3 linked regions of the Canis lupus familiaris genome follow. The protein of the gene in region 1 interacts with the protein of each later gene in a pairwise test. Links are inferred from orthologs where the notes say so. Each region holds a gene or a part of one and is shown in the gene's direction. Other genes may lie near its edges. The genes, in order: FCHSD2, MTUS2 and ABCF3.

What was found.
Region 2: the proteins of FCHSD2 (region 1) and MTUS2 interact in binary tests that used the Homo sapiens proteins (3 or more experiments, as listed by UniProt). The two-hybrid records come from large-scale screens. The link is inferred for Canis lupus familiaris from reciprocal best matches to the Homo sapiens genes FCHSD2 and MTUS2.
Region 3: the proteins of FCHSD2 (region 1) and ABCF3 interact in binary tests that used the Homo sapiens proteins (3 or more experiments, as listed by UniProt). The two-hybrid records come from large-scale screens. The link is inferred for Canis lupus familiaris from reciprocal best matches to the Homo sapiens genes FCHSD2 and ABCF3.

The regions. Positions count from the first base shown.
Region 1 is NC_049242.1:25,368,980-25,375,002, forward strand, and holds part of FCHSD2 (F-BAR and double SH3 domains protein 2), read left to right. Parts: intron 1-1,777; coding exon 1,778-1,832; intron 1,833-2,660; coding exon 2,661-2,789; intron 2,790-6,023. UniProt on the Homo sapiens protein: Adapter protein that plays a role in endocytosis via clathrin-coated pits. Contributes to the internalization of cell surface receptors, such as integrin ITGB1 and transferrin receptor.
Region 2 is NC_049246.1:10,819,041-10,825,063, reverse strand, and holds part of MTUS2 (microtubule-associated tumor suppressor candidate 2), read left to right. Parts: intron 1-653; 5' UTR 654-894; coding exon 895-3,132; intron 3,133-6,023. UniProt on the Homo sapiens protein: Binds microtubules. Together with MAPRE1 may target the microtubule depolymerase KIF2C to the plus-end of microtubules. May regulate the dynamics of microtubules at their growing distal tip.
Region 3 is NC_049255.1:17,251,620-17,258,424, forward strand, and holds the start of ABCF3 (ATP-binding cassette sub-family F member 3), read left to right. Parts: upstream 1-2,855; 5' UTR 2,856-2,944; coding exon 2,945-3,017; intron 3,018-3,250; coding exon 3,251-3,398; intron 3,399-3,536; coding exon 3,537-3,616; intron 3,617-4,091; exon of another isoform or gene 4,092-4,124; coding exon 4,125-4,171; intron 4,172-4,369; coding exon 4,370-4,467; intron 4,468-4,566; coding exon 4,567-4,689; intron 4,690-4,887; coding exon 4,888-5,154; intron 5,155-5,468; coding exon 5,469-5,549; intron 5,550-5,639; coding exon 5,640-5,699; intron 5,700-5,829; coding exon 5,830-5,886; intron 5,887-5,995; coding exon 5,996-6,018; intron 6,019-6,124; coding exon 6,125-6,180; intron 6,181-6,297; coding exon 6,298-6,498; intron 6,499-6,602; coding exon 6,603-6,679; intron 6,680-6,805.

The DNA.
Region 1 (6,023 bases):
GTTCCATTTTGGATATTCAGGTTCTGAAGAGCCTGTGGGACATTGACGTGAATAAATTTAGTAAGGAGTCTTTTTTTGCTTTGTTTTGTTTTGTTTTTTGTTTTAGTAAGGAATCTTATGTCTAACTCTCAGATGAGAATCTGGGCATAAAGATCTTACTTTGGGGGTTGGTTACCTATCAGAGGATGGTTATAGAGATGAAATCATATATAAGATGAGAAATTAAGTTGGGGGTCCTAAGGAGCGTTAACATTTGGAAGTAGGTGAGGAGGAGGAGTGTGCAGTACAATTCACTATCTGTATATATCTCATTTGTTGTAGATTATGATCTACATAGGAACTGTATCTATTACTAAGAGCATAGGAACTGTATTATTTTATCTGTTACTAATACCTTCTTAAATACTACACAAGAATTCTATGAGGATTAGCAAATGAAACAGAAACCAGGAACTTAAAACCTTATATCTGAAAATTCAGGTGCAATTCAGACTATTTGGATAATGACTACAAAAAAAGAGAGAGAGAGAGGAGAGAGAGAGAGAATTAAAAATACCCCAAGCAGTCTTTGTTAATCTTGAACAGGCTTTCTCAAATTTAAAAGTTTGTAGCCTTTTCTAGATCAAAATGAATAGGAATCTGATTAATAAAAACAGACAAAACCCCCAGGAAATATGAATATGGCAAGGTAGAAAATAACAGGAGTATATTGAACTCCTTTTTTTTTTTTTTTTTACCAGTGGGGAAGTAGTTAGGATGCATTAGTGTATGTCCCTGATTGTTTCTCTTTTGTTAGAAAGATGATAGGCTGTTTTTGCTATCCTCCTTGAATTTGCTCTGCAGAGACTTGTTTGTTCCACCCTACATTCCCAGGTGGTCTGCAGCTTTACTTTGTATTATGGCATAGCTTCCAGCACATGAACTGAATTCTCCCATGGTAATCACCATGACACTGCAGTCAAGACAAATATTGCAGCTTCAAAAATCACTGGTTGTGAGAGTGTTGTTATTCCTTACTGTTTGTCTGTTGACTTTCTCCTTCTGGTTATCTCTAGCTGTTTGGGTAAAACCAGCATATTTTAACTCTTGATTGTTAGATTATGGTTTCTTTCCCAAACTGAAAGGGATTGGAGGAAATAAGGGCATCAGAATGGGAAAAGATTAAACAGAACAAAATCATATAGGGCAGAGAGTCCAAGGACTTTCTCACTGTGTTTCAAGTAGTATGTTAAAATTGGAGGGAGCACACAAGGACCCAAACAGGAAGAAATTTAATGGGAGAAATAATGGAATTAAGGGCTTTCAAGAGCCTAATATCATACTGTAGGTTGAATTGCAGATGTTGTGACGTCCTATTGCAGATGGCCCTAAAAGCCTGCTAATTTTTGGCTCCATAGATTGGTTATCCCTAGGTTTCTTTAAGCTTTCTTGTAGGAACTAAAGTGTGTGTAATTATATGATACAGAGAGTAACTTATAGTTTGGTGGCTCTTGTTTATTAGGAGATACCAATATATTTGTCAAATTGTATTTTTGTCATTCAGAATATTTTTTATTAAATATCCCAATATTTCCTGTTGCACTGAAATATTCTTCCTATAGTAAAATAAAGGAAAATAATCATTGCTCTTGGTTTTCCATTTTTTAGTTCTCTTTTGGAATAGCATTGTGGAACAGTGTCACTGTTCCAAATTCCAAAATTTGGAATTATACTTAATAAGTTTAATATGATGTAATTTGATAACTTATTAAACATATTGTATTTTGTTTTATTATAGATCTAAACTTAGCCTTTTTCAATCAAGAATCAGTTTACAGAAGGCAAGTGTAAAGGTGAGTTTTTGAAAACTATATTTCACAATTGAGAAACCTTAGCTTATTAAGAAAGAATTGAGGTTTTTTTGAGGGTTGAAGGCAATTATTTCCACCTAATTTAGAGAAACATTTTTAAGTCATTAACTTAGAGAAGAAGTTTCCTTCCCAATTCATATGAGTTTTTCACCTAGATGTCAGCACTTTGGGTACTGCTTGCTTCTCAAGATTGCGGTAGAGATAGGTATCTGTATCTTAGCTGCTTAGGTAGTCTGTTGTCTATAACTCTTAGTCCAAAAGACTAGTCCATGGGCTTTAGAGATCTACAGAATCTATTTCATTCAGATTTACACCACTGAGCAGATATTCCGAATCAGATGCAAGTGAGATTTTTCCTCTGGGACCCTCAAGCTGTAGAATACCTGTTAAGTAAGTTTAGCGATCTGCCAGGATTCTAACTAGCATGAAGTTCTTTTAGCACATGAGGAGTGCTAATTTTTTAAAAAAGATATTCTAACTCCAACAGATTTACCCATGTCTTTAAAGAAAAGGCACTTAATTTGGGAGCCTTTATTTTCCCATCTGAATAAAAGGAGCAAAATACTTTGAAGTTTTCTGAGGAGCTTTGGGAGTATGTTAAGTATAAATAACAAATATGTGAAAACATTCTCACCATGTAATTCTTCAACTAAATAGTAATGAATATTTTTATATGTGAATAAATATTCACATGGTTATCTTTCCTCTTGTCAGGGAGCCATTAATTGCCAGCTAAAAATGGTATCCTCATATATTATACAGTACAATGTCAGTTTGCAATGATTTTTTTCTCTTATTACTATGTTTCAGTTAAAAGCCCGGCGATCTGAATGTAATTCTAAAGCTACCCATGCAAGGAATGATTACCTTCTTACATTAGCAGCCGCAAATGCACACCAGGATCGCTACTATCAAACAGATTTAGTTAACATTATGAAGGTAATACAGCCTTTATATCTGTGGTCATTTGTTTCATTAAAGACAAAAACAACTCATGAGTTGACTATTAGATAGATAGACTCTGTAGAAGAGCAACCAGGCTTCCTTGTAGTTCATTGAAGTTAATATTGTTTGTGTAACTTCTCTTTCAGGTAATTCTGAATTAATTCTTAATGTAAGAAAGTATTTAAAGCCAGATCACAGTAAAGGACTAACTATATTAGTCTCTAGCAGTGGCAGATATTTGCTGTATAATGGTTATCAATATATAAGATAGAAAATAGGATTATTTTTTTGAAGCTTAGATTTTTTTTTAATTTCATAATTTTATCTTTAATTGATATATAAACTTGTACGTTAATGTTTTATGCTTTGGAGGTACCCATGAGAAGAGAAAATATTTAGTAGTTATATGAAAATGTCTCTACCGTAGTTAACACTGAAGTATAGATAGATCATATTACACTTTCTTGGGTACTCAAACTTATTATTGGTTTTTGTCTGTTTATACATATATATGTATCTTTATTTTTCACTGAAGTAAAAGGAAAGTGGTGAAAAAGAAAACCTTTATAACCTACTACCAGATTTCCACTATTTCTGGTATACAATTTCTTTTTCTTTCTTCTTCTTCTTCTTTTTTTTTTTTTTTTTGATTTTATTTATTTATTTATTCATGAGAGACACAGAGAGAGAGAGAGAGAGAGGTAGAGACACAGGCAGAGGGAGAAGCAGACTCCATGCAGGGAGCCTGACGTGGGACTCGATGCCGGGTCTCTAGGATCACGCCCTGGGCTGAAGGCGGCACTAAACTGCAGAGCCACCTGGGCTACCCCCATTTCTGGTATACAATTTCTACATAGAGTGTGTCTCATTTTCTCCTGGCTTCTCGAGGACCCAAACATTTGATTATTTTATCTTTCTCTTGTATTTTCAACTCATCCTTTTCAAGCAGATTGTTCTTACTATCAAGACACATTAATTGAATTAATTGCTTTACAAACCGTAAGCATTGAGAATGGGGATGTAACAGGAGTAGGTGCTCTTTTTTCCTACTGTGGCTTCTAGGAAAGAGATAAATTCTGTCTAGAAAATATATAAGTTCTTTCCTCAAAAGTAGACAGGACATTTCCTGGTATCTTCAGGGAAAAACAGGAGTGATACAGAGCGTCAAACTGGGCTAAGGAGTATCCAGTTGCAAAATTTTTTCTTTCGTTTTTCGATATTGCCTGAACTCCTGTTTTCCTAGCTTCTATCCTGTTCAGAATTCTACTGGTTAGAGTACACGTGGTAAGAGAGACAGGGGATTGTTTTGACACCCCAGATGAGAATTCAGCATACATTTTCCCCTAATATGTTGGACCTAGAGGTTTAGGCATTTTAGTACCTTATTAGGTGTTACATGGTGCTTCAGATTTATAAGAACCAACTAGAGAATTGGCCTCCCATTATAATGTGGTTTCTCTAGGGAAATATATATGTATACTCAGTCTTAGACAACTCACACTTAAAGTTGTGATTCTCTGTATACTGTCTGTTAAAGCTGTTAACAATATATTTCCCCTTTCAATACATTAAATTGAACATATAGTTGAGGCAGCAACCAAAATAAAATCTGTTTTTTAAATTGAATCCAGAGCCAAAAAAAGAATTATTTCTTAATAAAGCCCTGTAGTCTTTGATTAAACTGGGAAAGGTATTATTTTGGGTATTATTTCGTGCCCTCTGCCCGAAACAAAAAGGGAGTTAATGGGCCTGGCCAGCTCTCAGATTATATATTTTTGAACTTGCTTCAAAGTCTTAATGCAGATATTTGATCAGCATTGGGCATGTTATGCTTCAGATTACTCATTTCATGAGACATTGCAAGGTACTGGTATGATAAAAATAGAGACAGGAGTCCTCTTTTGTCTCCTAAAAACAGACAAGAATATTCTCAGTTTTCATGTTGTGTGTATATTAATTCATTTTCTTCCTTATGTTAATTCTGTAGTCTGCAGTATTGGAAAACTGTCATCAATCATATTGTTAGCTACTTAGTAAGTTTCTATCATTGAATGGACAGTGGCCCTTCAGGGCCTTTCTTAGAAATGTCTTATTTTCTCAATTGTTGCTAAAGTTATAATACCTTAGGTAGAATCTTTTTAAAAAGTTGTATGTGGGGATCCCTGGGTGGCTCAGCGGTTTGGCGCCTGCCTTTGGCCCAGGGCATGATCCTGGAGTCCCGGGATCGAGTTCTGCATCGGGCTCCTGGCATAGAGCCTGCTTATCCCTCTGCCTGTGTCTCTGCCTCTCTCTCTCTCTCTCTCTCTCTCTCTCTCTATCATTTAAAAAAAAAAATCTTTAAAAAAAAAGTTATATGGATAGCTTGGAAGCAGATTTTGATTCATTGATTTAATCATATGCATTTAATAGTCACTTACAGTGTGGTAAGTACTAGACTACACTTTGGGAAGAAGCAAGGATGAGTAAGACACTTTATCCTCAAAGAGCTCTGTCTGGTGGAAGAGAGAAATACATAGAAATGATTACAAATTAGAATGATGAAATTACTGCTAGAGGACCCTAATTAGTAATATTAATACCTATCCTTTTTTTTTTTTCATTGCTTATACTCTGGCATTATCCTAATCACTTTAGGTTTATTATCCTTATCATTTTTTTTCCTGGTTAGAGTTCATAGTTCCTTGCTTAAATAGCACTCTGGCCTATAAATGAAATTCCAACTCAAGATAAACCCAGATAACCTCTTTCTTTGTACCTGCATCTAAGTAGCCAGGTACTACCGAAGACAATCTTTGAACAGACAGAACACATTCATGTTCATAAATTAATGTGGAACCAGTCTCAGATAGACCCTGAGCACTGTGAGACATCTACTACGTTTCCCTGGTTCACTTTTGCTAATATTTTTAGCACTTTTTTCAACGTTTTTCCATCTCAAACCTCAAATTTGCCTCTTCTCTTTCACATTAGCAAGTGGGTTTCTTCCTAATTTACAGAGAAAATAAAAGCCATTAATCGGAAAGTCCACTGTTTTCTCATTATCTGCTTTCGTGTATGTTCGAGATTCCTCCAAGGAACCTCAACAGAAGAGTTGTTCCTCCTATCTAAAGATGATCTTTTCACCTGGGTTTTGGATATCTCATTCCCTCCTGCCTTTTCAGGATCAAAACAACTGTTTATTCAATTTCTTTCTTACATTTCTTGAATGTTGTATTCTTAGGTTAAAAG
Region 2 (6,023 bases), on another chromosome or scaffold:
TCGGCTCAGGTCATGATTTCAGGGTTGTGAGATTGAGCCCTGCATCAGGCTGCCTGCTGAACATGGAGCCTGCTCAAGATTCTCTTTCTCCCTCTCCCTCTACCCGTCCCCCACTCCCAGCTCATGTGCACCTGCTTTCTCTCTCTCTTTCTCTCTGAAAAATAATAAATAATCTGGAGAATGGTACCTTAGGATTCTGTGAATATCCTGTTCCCCAACAATCATTCACCTGATGTTTTTCACAGCCATTGGTTGCAAGATAATTATTACTTTGGTGATTACAAAATGGTGACTTTTTTTCTAACGGTATGATTTTTCTTATGTTAGTTGGTATTATTCTGTGAAGAAGAACTTTTCCTTCTCCTCCAGCCTTTTATATCAGTATAAGTATGAACCTGTGGATATTTTAAATTTGAATTTAAGATTTAATATGTTTTATAATCCATTTCTAACATTAATCATTTTATGTTTTAATTTCTCCATAGTTGGCCAGCAGGCACACTATCAGAAAGGTTTCGGAGAAATTTATGGACTGAGTGAATGAAATAATAATATGAAAATTATGAATAAATCTGTATTTTCCATGCTTTTTTCTCCTGAGAACCTCTATTTGTCAGTGCCAATAACATGATTTTATTTTTATTTTTCTCTAGGTCTTATGGACTAATTGGCTCTCATTCAGCAGGAACCTAACAGATAAGTCATCCTGCTGTATGTCAAGACAATGCTTGGTTTTAAGACTGCTCTGAAAATGATTAAAGTGGTATTGCAATGTGACATTGTCAGGGGGCAAGAAGCAGCTTGAGAATTTCCCATTAATCAAATAGCCTTGAAGGAAACTTCTTTCCATTAGGTAGGACTGCATGGCCAGCAGCCCCCACTGAAGGGTTGAAAATGAGTGTCCCAGTGGCTCCGAAGAAATCATGTTACGCTCAGTTGCGGGACAACAGAAATGGAGTGAAAAATAATAATGAGAGTATCCTAAGTCTGGGGGATACAAATGCCAATCAAATCATGTTGGAGGTCAGTTCCTCTCATGATGAGTCCGAGACACGTGACCTGACAGATGAAATTGGAAATGCAAATTCAAGCGAGCCAGAGAATAGTACCCATTTCAATAAGGAATTTCACCAATTTCAGGGCTTTGGGAAAGGATCGCAGGCTGGCCCTACCAGTCTGAAAGATTTTAAATTTTCCCTGACCGTCCACGGAGGACTACATGACGAGCACACAACGGAGAGAGGCACAGATATCCTCCAGACCCCTCGCAGTGTTCAGGGACCAAGTCTGTCAACTTGGAGGAATGTTATGGCTGAGGCCAGTCCAGAGGTTTTGGCTAAAAGGGATGCTGAACTTCCCCGGCATGCTCCTAAGGATAAGTTGGCAAAGACCCTTGACAATGAGGAATTGCGAAGGCATTCTTTGGAAAGAGCGAGCAGCTCTGCCGTTGTAGCAGATGTTCCCATGAAGGAGCACGGTGGAAGCCTTGGTGGGAGCCTGACCTGGCAGCGTCTGCAGCCTGCGCCACTGGACTCCCCTGAAGCCCTGCGTCCTGAGCCCAGTGGCAGGGAGGGGCCACAGAAGATGTTGACAGCCCCCTCTCGAGGAGCAGCTTCTCCTCCAGCTGACAGTACCTCAGAAGGAAAGAGCGTGTGTCATCCTAAACCATCTACCTCAGCAACCAAGGAGACCACCCCTGTAGAGACCCAGAGGGAGAGGGCACAGGGCCCAGACTTGAGCAATGAGAGCACATCACATTCTGCCCATCCAGAGCCTGGTCTGGATTCAGCCTCAGCACTGAAGGGGGTCCTGAGGAAGCCAGAAGCACAATTAGGTCAGGGGAAGGGAGAGCTCAAGCCGGAGCTGAAATTTGTCCAAGCCAGGGCTGTGCAGGAGTTCAAGGCAATCCAGGCCGAGTGTCTGGGGTGCCCAAAGGAAGGTGGCATGTTACCCCTCGAAAGAAAGGATCCAGGTGGGAAAGCACAGCAGGAGGCTGCCACCGGGGCACGTAGCCTGTCACACAGCAGTGTGCACCCCATTGGTGTGGGAAGAGGCAGGAGTGAGCAAGACAAGAGAGCAGGCCACCTGGGTGAGGAGGATTCTCTCCAGACCACCCCCACGCAAGGCCCTGCTTCCTTGGCAGCTGCTGATAAGCAGCCCTCTGGCAGCATTTCAGCAAGCACAGCTAGGAAGTTGGATGAAGTGGCGTCTGGCAGCATTTCGTCAGGTGATGGGCATGTATCTTTTATTCCCTATGACCTACCTGACAGCAGGCCCTCAGATGTCAGTGAGGAGAGAGTACTGGACAGTGGGAACGTAGTCAGTGCTGCGGCTTGTGGTTCAGACCCTTCTGTTGGAGAGAACAGCCCGGGGGTCCCTGAGCCCCTTGGCCCTCAAAGCAGCAGCCCAGAAGTAGGTGACCACAAAGAGAGCACGACATCTGTCGCAGAAGATAGGAACATTCTAGAAAAGGCAACTGAGACTGAAAGCACCCTGGGGAGAGCAGGGGCTCTTCTCAGTGGCCCGGCACCCTTCCATCCAGAGACAACTGTGAATGTGACCCACCAGCCTCCACCACCTAGTGGCGGTGTTCAGGACCTAGACGCATTGGGTGCAGATGCCAGGTCACCCTCAGCCACTGCACCCCCCACTGACAGTGCATGGTTGTTGAACACCCCCCTGAAAGTGCCTGACAAGAGCACCTGCCCCAGTGGGATCCCTGAGCCTGTCTTCCTGCATCCTGAGGACACCCCTTCCTCACAGGAGGGAGTGGAGAACCACCAGGTTGAAAAAGTAGAAGAGAGGACAGAACCCAAGCCCATCATTCTGCCCAAGCCCAAGCATGTGAGGCCCAAGATCATCACCTACATCCGGAGGAGTCCTCAGGCCCTCGGCCAAGTGGACACTTCACTGCTTCCAGTGGGGCTTCCTTATGCTCCACCCACATGTGCCATGCCTCTTCCCAAAGAGGAGAAGGCAGCAAGTGGTGAGCTAAAGCCGCCTGCCAGTCTCTATGAGAAATACAAGCCGGACTTGCAAAAGCCACGAGTGTTCAGTTCTGGGTTGATGGTGTCTGGGATCAAGCCCCCAGGGCACCATTTCAGTCAGATGAGTGAAAAGTTTTTACAGGAGGTAAGAGATTGTCATTGTGATATGATCTTTAAGTTAAACACTGTAAAGTTTGTAGGTGTTTTCTTTGGGAACTGTGAACACAATGTCCTCCCTTAGCAAATTGCAGATTTTGATGAATCCACTGGCACAGAAATGGATGTTCTTAACTAGAGGGAGGAGCTTGTGGACAAATGGACATTTTTGATGAAGAGAGTGTGATGATCGTGGTGAGGTACAGCTGACATCTAAGGAGACTCATTTAAATTCCACTCAGTATAATACATGTGAGGTTAATTAAGTATGCACTTAAATTGGCTTCCATGTTTAAGTGAGCATAAGTCTTGTATAAACCAGATCAGTGAGGAGAGGAGGGTAAGTCCAAAATAAATATATTGTTCAAAGTGGTCTGACTTCATGTTCTCAGGGGGAATATTTTCTTTATGGAAAGATATTCATATTCATACATGGGAAAAACACAGTGGGTAGCAAATAATGTGTTAGGCATGGGCTCTTTGTTTTGAGTCAAAATAATAATTACAACTGACATTTAGTTGAGCACCTACTATGCTTCAAGCCCACACAACATAACATTTCATCTTTATCTATCTTCACTAGTCCTTGTAGTGATTTTCTGGAGGTTGAGATTATAGTTTTTATCATTGTCTAGATGAAGAAACAGCTTTGGAGGGATTTATGTAACTCAGTTAAAGCCACAGAACAAGGATAGTGTGGAGATGTTCTTCTATGTCCTCCCAATTTTGTGACTGGGCTGTCCTTTACATTACTGGGTGCTGTGGTAAGTTGTCCTCCCAGAGCTCAGAAAGTAGGTTTGTCTCCCAAAGCAACCTCCTCATGGCAGCTAGGCAAGTGTTCAGTTGGAAGGAAAGCCAGGTCAGATCACTCCTCTCCCTAACATCCTTCAGGTCAGCCAGGCCACTCAGAACACAAGCTTAAGCATGTAGGAAGGCTCAGCTTTTAGAATGGACTCAGTCTGTCTCTCTAACCTCCCCAACCCCCTCTCCTTCCTTGGCTCACCTCCTCTCCCTCTTCTGCCTCAGGATCTTTGCACTTCCTTGTGTTTAGAATTTTCTTCTTCCAGATATCTCAGTGGCTGTCACCTTTATTTTCTATTTCTGTTCAAGTGTCACTTCATTGGAGAGACACCTCACCTTCTCTGAGACCCCTTTCCTTGTTGATTTTTTTCTTAGTGCTTATCTCCATCTGGTGTATATACTTTTTCTGTTTTTGGTGCATCAACTAGAATGTAAAATCCATGAGAACAGGGAATTTTTTTCTGTTTTTTTTTTGTTTGTTTGTTTTGTTGTTCTCTGCTGGGTCCCCAGAGTTTAGAACAGTGTTTGACATAAATACGTCGTCAGTAAATGTTGAATGACAGCAGAATTAAGAACTCGTGTATGTTGGCTCCAAACAAAAGGCAACTGAAGCTTCTGAGAGATAGAAAACCTAAGTCCAAAGTTGGACCTTAGGTTGATTGAATATACTGACATATTTACAGAGTGTACTTATTACACTAGAAGTTGTCAGCTCTTACACAGCAAAAGAGGTGAATCTATTCTAAGCAGCAGATCTTGCCCAAGGCTAGCACTCACTTGCCCCAGCAGCTGATCATCTGTTTTGCCCTGGGGCAGTCTGTGAGCTCTAGATCACACAGCTCCCTCGCTGTCTCTGACTCCGGGCCTGCTGGAGAGAGGCTTCCCACCTCTCATCTCTGCAGAGAGAACACTAACTGGAGAGTCTGGGGACTCAGTCTTTTTGGCAGGGGCTCATTTCGCCATACAGGGCTGCATGCTGTCCTGTTTTATGTGGGCTTCTCACATAAGGGCCTGCAGCAAAAGGATGTTCTGGCCAAAGGACATGAAGGGTCTGGCTGTGTAGGCAGTGGCATGTCACACAGTGGACAGGTTGCCATTCTGGTCTTATACATCAGTCTCTGAGCTTGGTTAATGTGAGTTTTTCTCAAATTTCTAAAACCTTAACCACGACCTCCAAGGCTAAGGATCAGGCTCTCTTTAGGCTCTTTGCTAAGGCTGGGGTGCTCCTTGTGAGGCCTTTAAAAGGCAGACATCTTATCCTCCCCAGGGCTGCTAGGACCAAAGCTGGTTAAATAACCAGACTCTCTTTCTTCTCATTGAATCACTGCAGAAGGAACCAATTTGTGCAAGATTAGGCCCTCAAATCTGGCATGATAGAGTATCTCTCTGACAAGCACACCCAGGGAGACAGTGATGAGAGCTAACCCTCAGCTGGCTTCCCTATAGCCACTAGGATGACTCCCCTGGTTACCAAGCACATTGGAGTTACCTTTACCTTTTCTATAACTTGTACCAACACGCCCACCTAAGTTCTTTCATTTGTACCATTCCTTCAAATAAATTAATTTGGTTCCTTCCCCCACCCCCCCAAAAGATCCCCTAGATTTTTCTCTGCAATAATGCATTCACAAGAGAAATTTTATGTGGACATGTCGGCACACATCTTGTTACCATCTGCAGTTCTTTCTCTGTGACCCTTACTGATTTTGGTTTTGTGTATGTCTTTTCTGTATTGTTTCTGCTCCATCCATAAAATATAGAATAATTTTGGAGCACCAGGGTGGTTCAGTCAGTTGAGAGTCCTGGGATTGAGCCTATGGATTCCCTCTCCCTCTGCTGCTCCCCCTGTTTGTACTCACTCACTCTCTCTCTCTCTCTCTGTCTTTTAAAAATAAACAGAATAATTTCTAAGTTTTATGTATACTTTTCCCCCAAGTATTTCCTATTCTTAATCCTCTAGCAGCTACTTGAGTCTCAGAGAAATGGGACAGTGTGAATGCTTCTGTGGTGTTAGTAGTTCTGAGAGGTTTGGAGAGGCCCCATTGGTGGGGGCGACAGTGCCACTGTGCACCAGCCACT
Region 3 (6,805 bases), on another chromosome or scaffold:
TGCTGCCTTCCCTTTGCACCAGCCCCTGAGTCTAGGTCTGGACCAATCACGTTGTGAGCGGGACTGGTGGAGCAGTCCCTGGGCTCCCTGGGCAGGGTGGTTTCTGGGGCTCCTACTCCACCATCCATCTGTCAGCCCTGGCCCAGTGCCAGGCTCTGTGTTCTGTGACCAAAGCCAGGTGGGCTCCCTCTCCTCCCCTCCCCTGTGGCCACATCTCTGGAGTGGGAGGGTTGGCTGCCCCTCACCTCGGAGCTCCCCCAAAGGCCAGTAACGGATCCCCAGCCCTCAATCCCTATTCTGCTTTGGGATAGTGTGAGCTTCATTTTGTACACGTGTGACTTCGTCCAGTTATAAACCCAATAAACTCTGTAGAGCGGAGTTGCTAAGTGTTCTTGCGGGAGCTTGATGGGGAGGGGAACTGATGGTATTTCTCTTCCCAGATCTTATGCTGCCTGCTATGAGTAGAAGTTTATATTCTGAACTCTCTTAAGGCTCTTCTCTTGTCATGTCTCAACTGTTAGGCCCCTTGAGGTCATCCAAGCCTTTATCCTGACTGGTGTTACCCCCGGTCTCCTGTCTCCCCTCCCCCCGCAAAACACAATCTGAAGGGCAAGCAGCTCCACCTGGTCCCAGTTCCCAGAGAGTGGAGATTCTTTTCCTCATTCACTTTCAGTTTTAGGCAGGTATTTTCTTTTTCTCCTTTTTTTTTTTTTTTAAGATTTTTATTTATTTATTCATGAGAGACACAGAGAGGCAGAGGCATAGGCAGACCCTGAGCCAAAGGCTGATGCTCAACCGCTGAGCCACCCAGATGTCCCTAAGCAGGTATTTTTTAATTAGAGATTGAGCAAGGTTTACATTTGTTTTTATTTTTCCCACCGTCCTAAGAAACTGACCTCTCAGTTCTGTCCTCTTCCCTATTACTCAAGCTTTCCAAACATTGGTGAGTGGGTGATAAAAGGGATTCTCCTTTCTATAACTTCCCTGTCCAAAGAATTTTGTGATAAGCTTGTTCTTACAGGGAATATTCCATGCCCTGCTGTGTGTTGGAGCAGATAAAAGCAAATTTGCTGTCATCATCTTTCCCTTGTTTGGCTCCAACTGTTTTAAACCTTAAAAAAATCTATTAGAGAAAATTTCAAATATAAATAGAAGTATCAAGATCCAGTGAACCTTCAGGTCCTGTCATTCAATTTTAACAATTATCAACTCATGGCACACTTAAGAGTCCTGTGGAATTTTTTACAACTTGCATCTGGATCTAAAGGTCCATTGTGGTCAGTGAATGCAATCTATCTAATCTAGGTATCTTTATCTATCTATCTATCTATCTATCTATCTATCTATCTATCTATCTATCTATCTATCTATCATCTATTTGAGGAAGGGAGCAGGAAAGGGGCAGAGGGAGAGTGGAGAGGCTCTTAATCAGGCTCCTTGCCCAGCGTGGAGCACAATGTGGGACTCAATCTCATGATCCTAAGATCAAGACCTAAGTGGAAATCATGAATCCAACACTTAACCAGCTGAGCCACCCAGGCACCCCTCTCACTTTTTAAATCTTATAAACCATAGGTTCTACTACCCTTCAGCTCTTGGAATACTGTTGAAGAAGCCATCATTTGTAGTTTCCCCATCAGAATTCCTTTCTATCGCCCATAAAGTGGTTGCTAGATCTAGTAGCTTAGCTTTTTAAGCTTTGTTTTTTAAAGTTTTATTTTTTTAATTAATTAATTTATTTATGATAGTCACACACAGAGACATAGGCAGAGGGAGAAGCAGGCTCCCTGCACCGGGAACCCGACATGGGATTCGATCCCAGGTCTCCAGGATCGCGCCCTGGGCCAAAGGCAGGCGCCACACCGCTGCGCCACCCAGGGATCCCTTAAAGTTTTATTTAATTTCTACATCCACTATGGGGCTCAAACTCACAACCCTGAAATCAAGAGTCGCATGCTTCTCGGACTGAGCAAGTCAGGCCCCTCAGCTTTTTAAATAGTTGGACTGAATCTTCTCAATGGCAAAAGGATAATAGACCTTAGGTGAAAATCTTAGAGCTAGGTTACGGTAAATGTAAATGTCACGTTAAATGTAAAGCAGCGTCATTTGGGGGAAATTCCTAACTTCTAGAGGGAATCCGTGAAACAAAGTAGCTCTATACGCTCGCTTACTGAGCTTACTGGTGCCGAGAAGTCTGTTTTGAGTGAGTAGGAACGGAATAAATACCAATGAATTTGCACTGGCGGATCTCATTTTCTTGCCCTTTGGCGCTAAGTGAGCTTGTGCCCTTGGGCGACGTTAGGACTGCCGAACTGTCAGGGGTGATGAGGCTGGCCACACGGATACTAGAAGCCCGGTCCGCAGGTCCCGGGGCCCAGAACAAAACCGGTGGGCCGCCAGAACTGCGCAGCGGACTTCAGACAGCTTAGAGACGAGCATGAGTCAGCAAAGCTCTCGGTGGCCCCCAAAACCGGCCAGCTGGGCGCGATGAGACAGACGCGCTTAAGGGAATGCAGAGGATCTAGCGAGACCCGTGCGCATTATCAACCGCCCGACTCTTGGGAGGTTCCCGCCCGCCGGACCATCAGTGTATCGCGCCCTGATAAGCCGCGAGCTCCCGTGCACCCCGCCCCCGCCGCCGCCGCCTCTCGGAACTCTGCCTCCCAGAAGGCAGCGAGAACCGCACATGTGGCTAATTTTTCAGCGGAAACAGCGTTGCGCAAGCGCAGAGAGAGAAGCTCTAGCGTAGGCTCTGAGTGGCGCTTGCGCACGGTTCCCCCAGCCCCGTCCACCCGGTCCACGGGGTTCCGGGCACTCCGCGCCTTTCTTACGTCATCACCACGCATGCGCTTTGGAAGGAGAGGCGAGCTCTTGGGAGACCGGCGGGAGGCGCGTCTGGGCTGCGGTCTAACTGCGCCTGCGCGGACGGGAGCCCGACCGGAACATGGCGACTTGCGCTGAAATCCTGCGGAGCGAGTTCCCCGAAATTGACGGACAGGTCTTCGACTACGTGACGGGTGAGCCGAACCGGATCCGTGCGCTGGCGAAGCCGAGATGGAAACCAGTGGGAGAAAGACTGAGGGAGGGTGGTGCCGGGGACCGCTGCTAGGCCTCTCCTCTGCGTGACCTCTCGTCCAGAGGGCCGGTTAGGTCTGGAGCCCGGACCGGGGCCTTGCGTGGCTCGGGGACTAAAACCGCTTGTATGTCCGCCCTTCCCTGTATCTTCCTTGACCCGCCATGCCCGGCCCAGGCGTCCTGCATAGCGGCAGCGCGGATTTCGAGTCTGTGGATGACCTGGTGGAAGCGGTGGGGGAACTGTTGCAGGAGGTGTCCGGGGACAGCAAGGATGACGCGGGTATCCGGGCTGTGTGCCAGCGCATGTACAACACTTTGCGCCTGTACGTGCCAGGGTAGGGGGGCTCGTGGGGGCGGTGGGAAGGTGGACGGTCAAGAGACAAGACGTAAGGGAAGAAGATCTGGTGGCCGCAGAGCTTTTTATTCAGTTCCTGACTGCACTTTCTGTTCCTGCCCTTAAGGGATGAGCCTCAGACCCAGGGAAACAGCCAGGTGCTACTAGACGCCCCCATCCAGTTGTCAAAGATAACAGAAAACTACGGTGAGACTGAGGGAAGACTGAACTAGCTGCTCTCCGCCTTTGTCTCAGCCTCCACCCCCCACCCAGGCAGCTATCCCCTGGAACCCAGGACTCTTGGTACCCCTTTTCCTCACAAGAAGGATGTAGTAGCTAGTTGACGTTTTCACTGAGGGCAAAGAAGGCCACTAATAAAGGGAGTAGGGCTGGAGAGTTCTCCAAGCTATTAGGTGGGGTAGGAAGCTTATGGGCCTTGGAGCTGGACCGACTTAGGTTTATTTCCCAATTTTGTGACTTTCTAATCAGCTGCACGAGCTTCTAAGAGTTGCTTATCAGCCCCAGTCTCTGTATTCTCAATCTGGGAGGTGTTTTTTATTTTCATTTTTGAAGTATGGGGCAGATGATAGCTATTTCTGGGATTGTGAGACTTTCCTTGAAATGTCTGTGTCTGTGCCTGCTTCATATTAGTTACTCAAAATGTTAGTTTCCCTTCCCTCAGGGAGAAGGTGACTGCTTTTCTTATCGCTTACAGACTGTGGCACCAAACTTCCAGGACTGCTAAAGAGGGAACAGTCCTCGGTGAGGAGGAGGAGGAGGAGGAAGAAGGGGGGGGGGGTCTCTGGTAGGGGTGAAGGTTGACTGTAAATACTGGAGGATCTTTCTGGGGGGTTTCTGATTATGTCTTTCCCTGAAAGCAGGGTGACTTAAGATGCTCTTTCTGGGGCTCCTTTCTGAGCCTACAACCTAGGCTGAAATGGTTGTGTTTGGACCTTTAAGACAGTGAATGCAAAGAAGCTAGAGAAGGCTGAGGCTCGACTGAAGGCAAAGCAGGAGAAGCGCTCAGAGAAGGACACACTTAAGACCAGCACTCCTCTGTGAGTTGAGCAAGAAGGGCTGAGAAGAGAATAGAGCAGTCTGTTGGAATGGAAGGGTGGCTGGGAGTGCTAAAAGCCATCCATTTCTCTCTTTGAAAGAGTCTTGGAAGAGGCATCAGCCAGCCAGGCAGGCAGCAGAAAGGAGAGTCGGTTGGAATCATCTGGCAAGAACAAATCATATGATGTGCGAATCGAGAACTTTGATGTGTCTTTTGGTGATAGGTGAGGGAGTGGCAGTGTGTGTGGGGGGGCAGGGGGGTGCACTTTTCTTTTTCCAATTAAAAGAATTTGGACAGATGAAACAGGGTTAAAATAACATTAGGTTTTGTGGTTAAATTTGCTATATACCTGTCTCTAGAGCAGCACCCTTTGTCTTGTTCCTCTAGAGCAGCATCCTTTGTCTTGTTCCTACCCCTGCAGGGTACTATTGGCTGGAGCAGATGTGAACCTGGCATGGGGCCGCCGCTATGGGCTGGTGGGGCGAAATGGGCTGGGGAAGACGACACTCCTGAAGATGTTGGCCACTCGGAGCCTGCGAGTTCCAGCCCACATTTCCCTACTGCACGTGGAGCAGGAGGTTGCTGGAGATGACACTCCTGCCCTGCAGAGTGTGCTAGAAAGTGACACTGTAAGAGAGGACCTTCTGCAGAGGGAGCGGGAGCTCAGCGCACAGATTGCTACTGGCAGGTAAGCACTCCAGGTGGGGAGCACCTGGCATCCATGGCTCTTCTTTGCAGAGTACCTGTCATACTGCCACAATCCATAACTTGCACGCTCATCTTAGCAGCAGAACTTAGAACTTGGCACCGTGGAGCTATAAAGCCCTGTTCCTTCCACAGTGCCCACTGCCCTCACTGACTTGAACAGGTGCTTCCTGTAGTCTGTTCCTGTCCTGGCAACAGGCAGTCAGTGGTCTGCTTTCTAACTGCGTAGACTATGGGGCATTCCACCTAGAGTGCCCCCATTCAGGCTGAGTGCTCTTTTTCCCATCCCCACTTTAGGGCTGAGGGCTCAGAAGCTGCACAGTTGGCAGAAATATATGCCAAATTGGAGGAGATTGAGGCTGACAAGGCACCTGCCAGGTATTTAAGATTTCCCCTTCCCTCTTTCAGATTTTACCTTTCCCTTCTGTTACATGTTTCAACCAGGTTCTTCAATCTCTTCACTTCTAGGGCATCAGTCATTCTTGCTGGGCTTGGCTTTACCCCTAAAATGCAGCAGCAGCCCACCCGGTGAGTGGCCCTTGCCATTCTTGGCCATGAACACTGTTGGCTCTGTCTCTACCTATCCTGGTGAACACCTATCCCTGATGTGATCTCTGTTTTTTGTTTTGTTTTGTTTTGTTTTGTTTTGTTTCTTTAGAGAGTTCTCAGGTGGTTGGAGGATGCGACTGGCCCTGGCCCGGGCTCTGTTTGCTAGGTGAGTCTCCTGGGCCTATTGTGGATACTGTGGAGGATGGGCCTTGGCTCATGGGAGGTCACAAGCTGCTGACCTAAGACCTCAAGGCTTACATTCTTCTTTTCTATAGGCCAGATCTTCTTCTGTTAGATGGTGAGTTTGAAATGGGGCACCTTGACTTTGGGATGGGGAAGGATGGAAATATTCAGTCAGGTTCTACAGCTCTTCATCCCAAATGTATCCTCCCACACTTTTCCAGAACCCACAAACATGCTGGATGTAAGGGCCATCCTGTGGCTGGAGAATTACCTGCAAGTGAGTGCCTAGAGATGCTAGAGTAGGTCTAGGGAAGGTCTGCCTCTAAGACACTGGGGCGGGGGCTGAAAGATGACTGCCATCTCAAACTGGGCCTGCCATCCTGTGACCCCTCAGACATGGCCCTCTACAATCCTGGTCGTCTCCCACGACCGCAACTTCCTGAATGCCATAGCCACAGACATCATCCACCTGCACAGCCAGCGGCTAGATGGCTACCGGGGAGACTTTGAGACCTTCATCAAGAGCAAGCAGGAGCGGCTGCTCAACCAGCAGCGTGAATATGAGGCACAGCAGCAGTATCGCCAGCATATCCAGGTATATGGGACAGGCAGGGCGGGGGAGGGGGGCCCATCCCATGGGTGTTAGAGTTTGCAGGAATGTTGGGAACCTGACCAGTGCCTAAATTTATCCACCCACAGGTTTTCATTGACCGGTTTCGCTACAATGCCAACAGAGCCTCTCAAGTGCAGAGTAAACTTAAGATGCTGGAGAAGCTGTAAGTAGGGTCCCTTGACCAGGCCCTGACTTCTGTTCTCTTAATTTCTTCTCTTGTTTTGCAGGGCACTCCTTGTCCTCCCATTCTAGATCTCCCTTTTTCTAGAAACCAGCTTTAGTCTCCTCT